2 linked regions of the Saccharomyces cerevisiae S288C genome follow. The gene in region 1 interacts genetically with each later gene. Each region holds a gene or a part of one and is shown in the gene's direction. Other genes may lie near its edges.

Evidence for each region.
Region 2: mutations in MTC3 (region 1) and GSF2 together harm fitness more than expected from each alone (negative genetic interaction), as found in Saccharomyces cerevisiae (one large-scale study listed by BioGRID).

What each region holds. Positions count from the first base shown.
Region 1 is NC_001139.9:70,125-75,299, forward strand, and holds MTC3 (Mtc3p), read left to right. Parts: upstream 1-3,215; coding exon 3,216-3,587; downstream 3,588-5,175. Other genes in the region: glucose-induced degradation complex subunit VID30, read left to right, coding at 1-2,423; OST5 (dolichyl-diphosphooligosaccharide--protein glycotransferase subunit), read right to left, coding at 2,625-2,864, 3,014-3,034. UniProt on the Saccharomyces cerevisiae protein: May be involved in telomere capping.
Region 2 is NC_001145.3:175,567-180,137, forward strand, and holds GSF2 (Gsf2p), read left to right. Parts: upstream 1-2,859; coding exon 2,860-4,071; downstream 4,072-4,571. Other genes in the region: U2 snRNP complex subunit RSE1, read right to left, coding at 1-2,739; pheromone-regulated K(+) transporter PRM6, read right to left, coding at 4,451-4,571. UniProt on the Saccharomyces cerevisiae protein: May be involved in the secretion of hexose transporters from the endoplasmic reticulum. Involved in secretion of GAL2 and HXT1.

The sequences.
Region 1 (5,175 bases):
CGCTTAACTCTAATACCAGCCTGGAAAATGACAGAAATGACGATGATGATGACGATGATGATGATGACGATGATGACGATGACGATGACGACGACGACGATGAATCCGATCTGGAAAGCTTAGAAGGGGAAGTGGATACTGACACGGACGATAACAACGAAGGAGATGGCTCTGACAATCACGAGGAAGGTGGAGAAGAAGGAAGTAGAGGAGCTGATGCTGATGTGTCCAGTGCACAGCAGCGTGCCGAAAGGGTTGCGGACCCATGGATATATCAAAGATCTAGATCAGCTATTAATATAGAAACAGAATCAAGGAATTTGTGGGATACATCTGACAAGAACAGTGGTCTACAATACTACCCCCCTGATCAGTCTCCAAGTTCTTCCTTTTCTTCTCCTAGAGTATCGTCTGGTAACGACAAAAATGACAATGAGGCAACAAATGTTTTGTCCAACAGTGGTAGCAAAAAGAAAAACTCAATGATCCCTGATATTTACAAAATACTTGGGTACTTTTTACCTTCTAGATGGCAAGCTCAACCAAATAACAGCTTGCAGCTATCTCAAGATGGTATTACTCATTTACAACCTAATCCTGATTATCACTCATACATGACTTATGAAAGATCAAGCGCTTCTTCTGCCTCTACCAGAAATAGACTGAGAACCTCTTTTGAGAACTCTGGGAAAGTGGACTTTGCAGTCACTTGGGCAAATAAGTCATTGCCAGACAATAAGTTAACTATATTCTATTACGAGATTAAAGTTCTCAGTGTAACGAGTACAGAGAGTGCTGAAAATAGTAACATTGTTATCGGATACAAGTTAGTAGAGAATGAATTAATGGAAGCGACTACAAAAAAGAGTGTTTCTCGTTCAAGCGTGGCCGGTTCTAGTAGTAGCTTAGGTGGTAGTAATAACATGAGTTCCAATAGAGTACCTTCTACTTCTTTCACTATGGAAGGTACTCAAAGGCGTGATTATATTTATGAAGGGGGCGTTTCAGCCATGTCTCTTAACGTGGATGGTTCCATAAATAAGTGTCAGAAATACGGATTTGATCTTAATGTATTTGGCTATTGCGGATTTGACGGTTTGATAACTAATTCTACAGAACAATCTAAGGAATATGCTAAGCCTTTTGGTAGGGATGACGTTATTGGTTGTGGCATAAATTTTATCGATGGCTCAATTTTTTTCACGAAGAATGGTATCCATTTAGGTAACGCATTCACCGACTTGAATGATCTAGAATTCGTCCCATATGTGGCCTTACGACCTGGGAATTCTATCAAAACAAATTTTGGGTTAAATGAGGATTTTGTATTTGACATTATTGGATATCAAGATAAATGGAAGAGTTTGGCGTATGAGCATATTTGTCGTGGACGCCAAATGGACGTTTCAATTGAAGAATTCGACTCTGATGAAAGTGAGGAAGATGAAACTGAAAATGGGCCTGAAGAAAATAAATCAACAAACGTTAATGAAGATTTGATGGATATTGATCAAGAGGATGGTGCCGCTGGTAATAAGGATACAAAGAAGCTTAACGATGAGAAGGACAACAATCTGAAGTTTCTTTTGGGAGAAGATAATAGGTTTATAGATGGAAAGCTAGTTAGACCAGACGTGAACAATATTAACAACTTAAGCGTGGATGACGGTTCATTGCCTAATACATTAAACGTGATGATAAATGATTATTTGATCCACGAAGGATTGGTGGATGTTGCAAAGGGGTTTTTGAAAGATTTGCAAAAAGATGCGGTTAATGTCAATGGGCAACATTCTGAAAGTAAAGATGTTATCAGGCACAATGAAAGACAGATCATGAAAGAAGAACGTATGGTAAAGATAAGGCAAGAATTAAGATACTTGATAAACAAAGGTCAAATTAGCAAATGCATCAATTATATCGATAACGAAATTCCAGATCTGTTAAAAAATAATCTAGAATTGGTATTTGAGTTAAAACTAGCGAATTATCTGGTGATGATTAAAAAGAGTTCATCCAAAGATGATGACGAAATTGAAAATTTAATTTTGAAGGGTCAAGAATTATCTAATGAATTTATCTACGATACTAAAATTCCACAATCTTTGAGGGATAGGTTTAGTGGACAATTGAGTAATGTCTCTGCATTGTTAGCATATTCCAATCCACTTGTGGAGGCACCAAAGGAGATATCAGGATATTTGAGTGACGAATACTTACAAGAGAGATTATTTCAAGTTAGTAACAACACAATACTAACATTTTTACATAAGGATAGCGAATGCGCATTAGAGAATGTAATATCAAACACTAGAGCTATGCTTTCTACATTACTTGAGTATAACGCGTTCGGTTCAACCAACTCTTCAGATCCAAGATATTACAAAGCTATTAACTTCGACGAAGATGTGTTGAATTTATGAGCATAAAACAAGCACCTTCAAACAACAAAGCCATGTGATATCAGTCATTATCTTCCCAAAAATCGCATATTAATATGTCTTAAACCGTTTATATAATGAAATTTACTTGACACCTTTCTTTTTAATATTCTCATCCAAAATACTTCTTAAGTATAGTATATAATTTCATCGATAATTCCTTTATAGGCCAACGAAGAGCCACTAGACGTAGACACCGAAAGAATTCGAAGCAAAAACAGTGGTCAAGCCAGCAAACAAGCTGCCAATTACACTTAAAATTGTGTAGAAGAAGAGTTTCTTAATGTATGAAGATTTAGAACCGACGGCGAACAGGGCAGATGATAATACAGCTAATGTAACGATTAAACCACAAATTGCAAATTTTGGTTGAGTGTCTAAGTGGATAAATGGCTGGAAGCTCTTTGAGGAATGGAACTCTTTCTTAAGTGATTACACAAATGCCGAGAAGGCGAATTGGCTATACTTGTTAGTAATTATGAATTAGAAAACAGGAAGGGAACTATTCATTGTCCTGTGTGTTGTTAAAAACATCAAAAGAATAGCATCAACCAGCGTTACAGGCAACGTACGTATAATTGTTCATAAGTCATTGTAAACCTTGAATATGCAGGGATATCTCTCACTGCTTATGTTTTGCCTATTTACAGTATACGTTTTATGTGTACTTGCATCCTTCTTCGAAAAGTATTTGCAATTTCAAATTTCGCGTCAAAGAAAAGAGAAGACCACCCAAAAGATATCATTTCAACATAGGTAGAAATAAGGCAGAAGATGATGGGACGAAACGGTATTCGGCTAGCACTGAAAAGATCTTTCAGCACTTATCAGCCACCGGTAGTAGAGATTACGAATATAACGAAGTTATGGCCCACTCTACGACCTGAAGTTAGGGATGAAATCAAGGAATACTTACGATGGAGGATGCAAGAAGATTGGAGACATATACCGCTGGAGGAGACCAAAGCAGCGTATTTCTTATCTTATGGACCCTGTGGTGGCAGATCCAAGGGCAACGAATGGAACGTAGGGTACACGGGAATGCGGATAGTGTTCAACCTTGTTTTATTTGGCGGTGCAGCGACTGCATTTTATAATTGGAAACAAGATAAAAAGCTAGAGGAACAATTAAGGGATCTTGTATAAATTGGAAGCAACAATAGTATATATATATATGCGCTTGCGCAGAGTACGTTCTATTCATTTTTTATCATTCATTATCTATCCCTGTAAATAAACTAATATAAAAATTCAAAAAAATAATGATTTCGCCCAGGATCGAACTGGGGACGTTCTGCGTGTTAAGCAGATGCCATAACCGACTAGACCACGAAACCACTTAATTGAAATATACAACCCCAAGATAAGATACTTGCTTCATAGTTTAGTTGTAAAATTGAAGTTCAGTACAACATGGCACTAGTATAAAAAAAAGTTTACCAGCCATTACTGCGCACTTACCTACATTAGTCACTCTTAGCGTATATTCTAAATACGCTTAGAGACGTCTCCTTACTATTTTTCATACGTATAACTCTCAAAGGACAGTATAGACATATCCCTGGGGGCTTTTAGAGTGCAGCCTCTGGAGGTCTACACACGTTAATAGTCTCAAAAAATACGCTAATATTTGTTAAATAAGCGAATAGGTCTTCATGTGCGCCTGAATCAGTAGCTGTCTACATGGTAAAGAGTAATTTGTTGACACGAAAATTGATAGTTGGTTAAAAAATATTGCAGATTCAATACTACATGAAAGACTTAATTACAAGATAGACTGATGGTGAAAAAAGAATGTACAGGTTTACCGGCAAACATTTTGAGAAATTAAAGCCCAAAAAATTTTGTGTACCTTATGATTTTCCTCCTCTGTCTAATCCAGTTCCGTATCTGGGTACTGCTGCTTCTTTGTTAAAATCGCAGCATGCTTCCCATTGTTGGGAATTGACTTTGAGCAATATTTAGTTAGTAACTACCATATAGGTGACTGTCGTGTGCCAGCTATAACAGAAATAATCCTTTCACCATGATCATTGTAAACGATCAAAGAAAACTCTGAAGGGACTATAATGCAGTCTTCATGCAGACACTTGAAATATACGACATTAGTAGCTCCCAAGGTAGTAGGCACATCCTGCGTAAATTCTCCACAACCATGTTGTATATATAGCAGCCATAGTATGACCGAGCACATGGGACGTACGAATAAAAGATTTTCTCAGATCCCTGAACTTGAGCGTCAACCATGAATTTCTCTACTTTTTTTTCGAGCAGTAATTACCATTTTAGGTTTGATTACAATCACAGCTTCAGCAGAATTTGATTTCGACGTAGGCTATGAAGAGTTTGTCCGTATCAACCCTGATAAGACCTTCTTAGAAAGTGAGATTGGCCTTTACGTTGGTTGGACCGAGGGTAGTCAACGGCAGATAACAACGATACCACATAATTCCACGTTGGCGGCATCACTACAAGAGTAGAATGGTTGTGGTGGTAATGGCACAGAAACCTCCATCGCTACGTCCACACTTACGATGAGTGGTATACCTATCGCTACGATAATGAAGCACAGAAAAAGTGTACTTATCATATTACCGCAACTATGTACGTGAGGTGTAAATTATGGCTCTCATAGGACATAAGTAGGACAGAAATTGAAATTTTTGTGTTGGCAGAGCGAAAGAAACTTGAATTCGTTTATGAGGAATAAATTCTCAGCTCCATCCATGGTTCC
Region 2 (4,571 bases), on another chromosome or scaffold:
TTCCATTTCATCTTCTTCCTCTTCATTGCTTTCATCTCCTCCACCGTTCTCTTGCTTGTTAACACTTGATTCATGAACGTGAAACCAGTTATCCAAAGTTGGAAAGTTGGAAACTCTGCCAATATTTAAGCGTCCTGAGCTCGATATTGAACAAACACCGTTGATTGCAACATCTGCGTTAACAAATTTGGAACAACTTAGCATGTTTTGATCCTTTAACTGCCGTATGGTCCACACATTTTTCCACGTGTAGCTTACCCATGTAGAAGAGGAATGGCAAACCACGCATGACATCCATTTAGCTCCACTACTATTTATTTCTTCTTCTTCTTTTTCATCATCATCGTCTTCTTCTTCTTCTTCTTCTTCCTCATTATTTAGTGATACAGATATCTCACGCAAATACGAAAGGGAAACAGGCTTCAAGCCAAGGAATCGCCTTTTTATGTCAGTGAACGATCCGTCAACATCCCCTATATGAAATTTCATGTAAACGCCATTTTCTAAACCTACATGCAAATTAAGCTGTCCTATTGAGGAATCTCTAACCATTATCATGTCAGAAATCTTTTCACTAACTAATTGCAAACTTATTACAGTTAAAAAATCTTCCTTTTGGTCTTTAAGAGACATTATTTTGATCATACCCTCATTGTCAGCAATGGCTAATAAATCAGCATGCTGCGTATCTTGCACAATCGCAACTTTAGAGGGCATTGTGTCCAATTCTGGGTGGGTGGTTAATTCGATTAACGAATCCGAAGATACATCTATCTTGAAATAAACCAATTCGTAATTTGATAATGATATAATTAGTTGTGTTTTCGAGGACGTGGCACATACAATACGAATTCCCGCTGGTGGCACCCAAGTCAGCTTATTAGAATACCTAGATTTACCAGTCGGTACGATATGTCTTAGTTCTGCGGTGCATACTTGGATAATAGAGTGTGAGCCCATTAGGCATGTATGAATTGTTGTGTCCTGAGAGAGCTTGAAAGCTGAACGCGTTGCTTCATCCGGTGTTAGTTCCTCCATGGACTCGTTGTCAATTTGTAGTATCATAGTTTTCTTGGGAAAAGTTATGAACAAAAGAGTATTGTTATCGCCGGTTGTTGCAGGATCGGGTATTAGCCATAACTTGGTTGCGTTCGGGGGTAAACTAGTAGATATCAAATTAGAGTAATTCACAGCATTTGTTAAAGTTATTATCTTGTTGTTTGTAAAATGTTTAGTGGCGATAGACAGTGGCGAATCACTGACAATTTGAGATTTTATTGAAGGGTTCAAATTCAATTGTTGCGATAATATGCTCAAATTCTGCAACTTTATGGATGGTTCGAAAACTAGCGACTTATTTGGATCTTTTGAGGTTAAAACATTAGAAAAATCATTTTTCTCTACACCAAGTTTCTCAAACTGGAAAAGAAAGTTGTTATTCATTTCAGATAGTGCAAAAAGATAACCGTTTTTGAAAATGTGTAATTGGTGTGAATTTTGGATTGTATCAAAGTAGGACAATTGAACTAAAGGTCTATTTCTATCATTAGTGTCTGGACTTACAGTTAACTTAAAAAGATCGCCATGGTTAGATTGTAAAAGTACGAAAAAATCATTTTTCAATTTCTGCACTATGCCTGATATGATTGTTACATTTTTATGACGGCTATTTGTGATAGATCTTTTGGGTATTTCCACTTTCAGGCTGAAAAATCCGTTCATATCCTTTACCAGAATATGATTTTCGAAGCCTATGACAACAAAAGGGTTGAAAAGGGTATCATAGTCAGCATCATAGTTGTTGTCGCTTAGCGAAGTTGTTATATTATATCGCGATAGATCTGGCAAACTCAGTACGAAATTGGCAGATGGGTTAACTAAATAATCTGCCTTCTTGACGATGTGATTCAAACCCAACTCGAGGACATAAAATATCAAGTGTACTGATAGTTGAGTAGCGGCATTGTCGATTTCTAAGGTAACAAAACATGGATTATTGAAATTTACATCAACAACTGCCATATCCAGCGTTACCATATGGGGTCTGATGATTTCCAATGGAGACGAAATCCTCAATTTTTGAGCATAATCAACGAGGAAACACAATTTATTTTGTTCGACAGATGAGAGAATGATACAACGCCCATTAGGGTCAATTTCCATGTATGATATGGGAGAGACTCTTCGAAGGGTGGTCCTCGTCAATGGCTGGTTCACTAAAGTCTTAAGTCTAAGAGCACCTGCATGCATAATGATTTGCACGATACTTAGGTTACCAGAATCGGAAGTTAGCGCTAGAAAAGTGGGCCAGTTGGAAGCTTTTGCCCTTGACCCTGAATGCGGCAGATCCAGCGACTTCATCGAGGTTATCGTCGCAAACAGGTTTTGAAACTTGGCAATAAGCTTTAGTTCCCCATCTGCAGTATCATAAAGTTCTAAATGCGTCTCAGTAGCTACGCACAATTGCGACTGCTCACGCTTGGACCCTGCTTCCAGATCGACGAAGTGTCCGATGCAGGAGTGCACGAAATTCGTCTGTTTCTTTAAAGTAAGATGGTACAAGTATAGCTCATCATCTTTAGCAACCATTGTTATGTTATGGTCACTCCTTGTTCTTCTTTCAGCCTCTCGTTTTAAACCGTCATAAGCCATCGTTGTGCTAGCTTGCCCAAATAGTTTACGCATCTTCGCCGTGTGGGGCGACAAGCTTACTACTGCCATTTTGCCACCTCCCCACATTTAATGATGGAAAATATTATAAAAAAGCGAGAAAAGAAGCTAATGGTGCCATTGTTTTCCTTTTTAGAGAGGGGCAGCAGAGATCGGTGGACTTTGTTTTGATAGAGGGCGATTGCAAGCATGGAGATTTACATTAGACTTAACGCAGATGTCGAGCACGACTATGCGTTTCAGGTGTCAAATGAAGACACCATAAATAACAAAATTAAGAAGATTTTCCCTTCCAAGACGGGTTTGGCGGACTTAATGGTGCTGAGACCATCAATTTTCCATGAGAAGGAGCCCGTAAAGTTCTATAAGTCTATCCATCCAGGGTACCTGTCCGAAGGTGGTTGTTTGATGTTCCATTATGAAGCTGATAACGAAGAAAATCTCGAGGAGTTGAATGACTCCAAGCCGCTTATTGACCAGTTGTGGCCTGGTCAGCTAGTTGTTCCGGAGTGGAAGCTATCCAAGAAAAACATATGGGTATACACCATTATTATGTTGGCCTGGCTATATACCGATTTGCCCGACGCCATTTCTCCAACCCCAGGTATTTGTTTGACTAATCAATTGTCTAGACTATTGATTCCTGTAGCCAAGCACATGGATTTACCTGAAATTGCCGCTAAACTCGAACAAGAAGTTCAGGCAAACTATTCTAGTCTCGTAGCTCAATGGCTTTTCTTTGTCATGCACATTTTCAAAGTGGGCATAATTACTTTATTCCTCAAATTAGGCATTGCCAACCCCATCAGCTTCAATCCTTACAAGTTATGGAGTTTGAGAGATTTAACTTCTCCTTCTGCTAACGGCGCTAAGAATTCTGGCGGCAATAACAACACTACTGACTTAAAGACACGTTTGCGCTCTCTGGGCTGGATTGGTGCTAAGAGAGCTACTTACGACGATTACCAGACTAACTATTACAACTATGTCATAGATAAGATGGGTGGTGCAGTTGCTGCTTATAGAGCGGGCGCGATTAGGAAAGCTGCAGCACCAGGTATCCAACTTGTGGCTGGAGAGGGTTTCCAAAGTCCTCTAGAAGATAGGTTCACTGCTTCCACTTTCACGGCTATTAAAACCGAACGGAAATTCATTTTAAGTGAAGAATACTTTGTGGAGCTGGAAAACAATCTAAAGAAGATCTTGGAAGAGTATGACGGGGATATTGGTAAGATGAATGCTGAAATTAGGAGGTTTAGAAGGTTTGGTATTTATGAACCAGATGAAAAACTGGCCTCGCTAGTTAAGCTCAGAAGAGAAATTGCTGATGAGAAAGAGAAAGCATCAAACAATGATGCTACTTTTGGTATAAAAAAGAATGATTTGAAAAAATCTAATTAATTGTAAAACCAAAACACTACCATCCAGACTTTTTTTTTATTCAACCATAGCCTTTAACTACTACTACTACTACTAGTACTACTACTATTACTATTACTATTACTACTACTAGAGGGCCTTTTTTTACTCCTAGTATTTTTGTACTATCCTATTTACTCTCGTTGTTTTTATTAGTTTTTTCACTCTTTTTTTCAATTCCTCACGAATCTACTGTTTTCGTAGTGCTTTTTTTTGTTTCATTGTTTATAGCCATCAATGGTTTTTGTTACTATCATTATCATTATAAATATTTCATACAATATATACAATATATATACAATAAATGAGAATCGATTTACTTTTAATGCATTTTTGCAGTCAAAAAAAGCTTCGTTTACATTTATATGTATTTATGTTTGTATTTCTGGGGGAAATATGCCTTTATGGGCGTATATACTCTTTCGTACGTTTCTACATCCGAGTAGCAGTAGTAACTCGGTATTGTGCTTTCGTCGCCATAA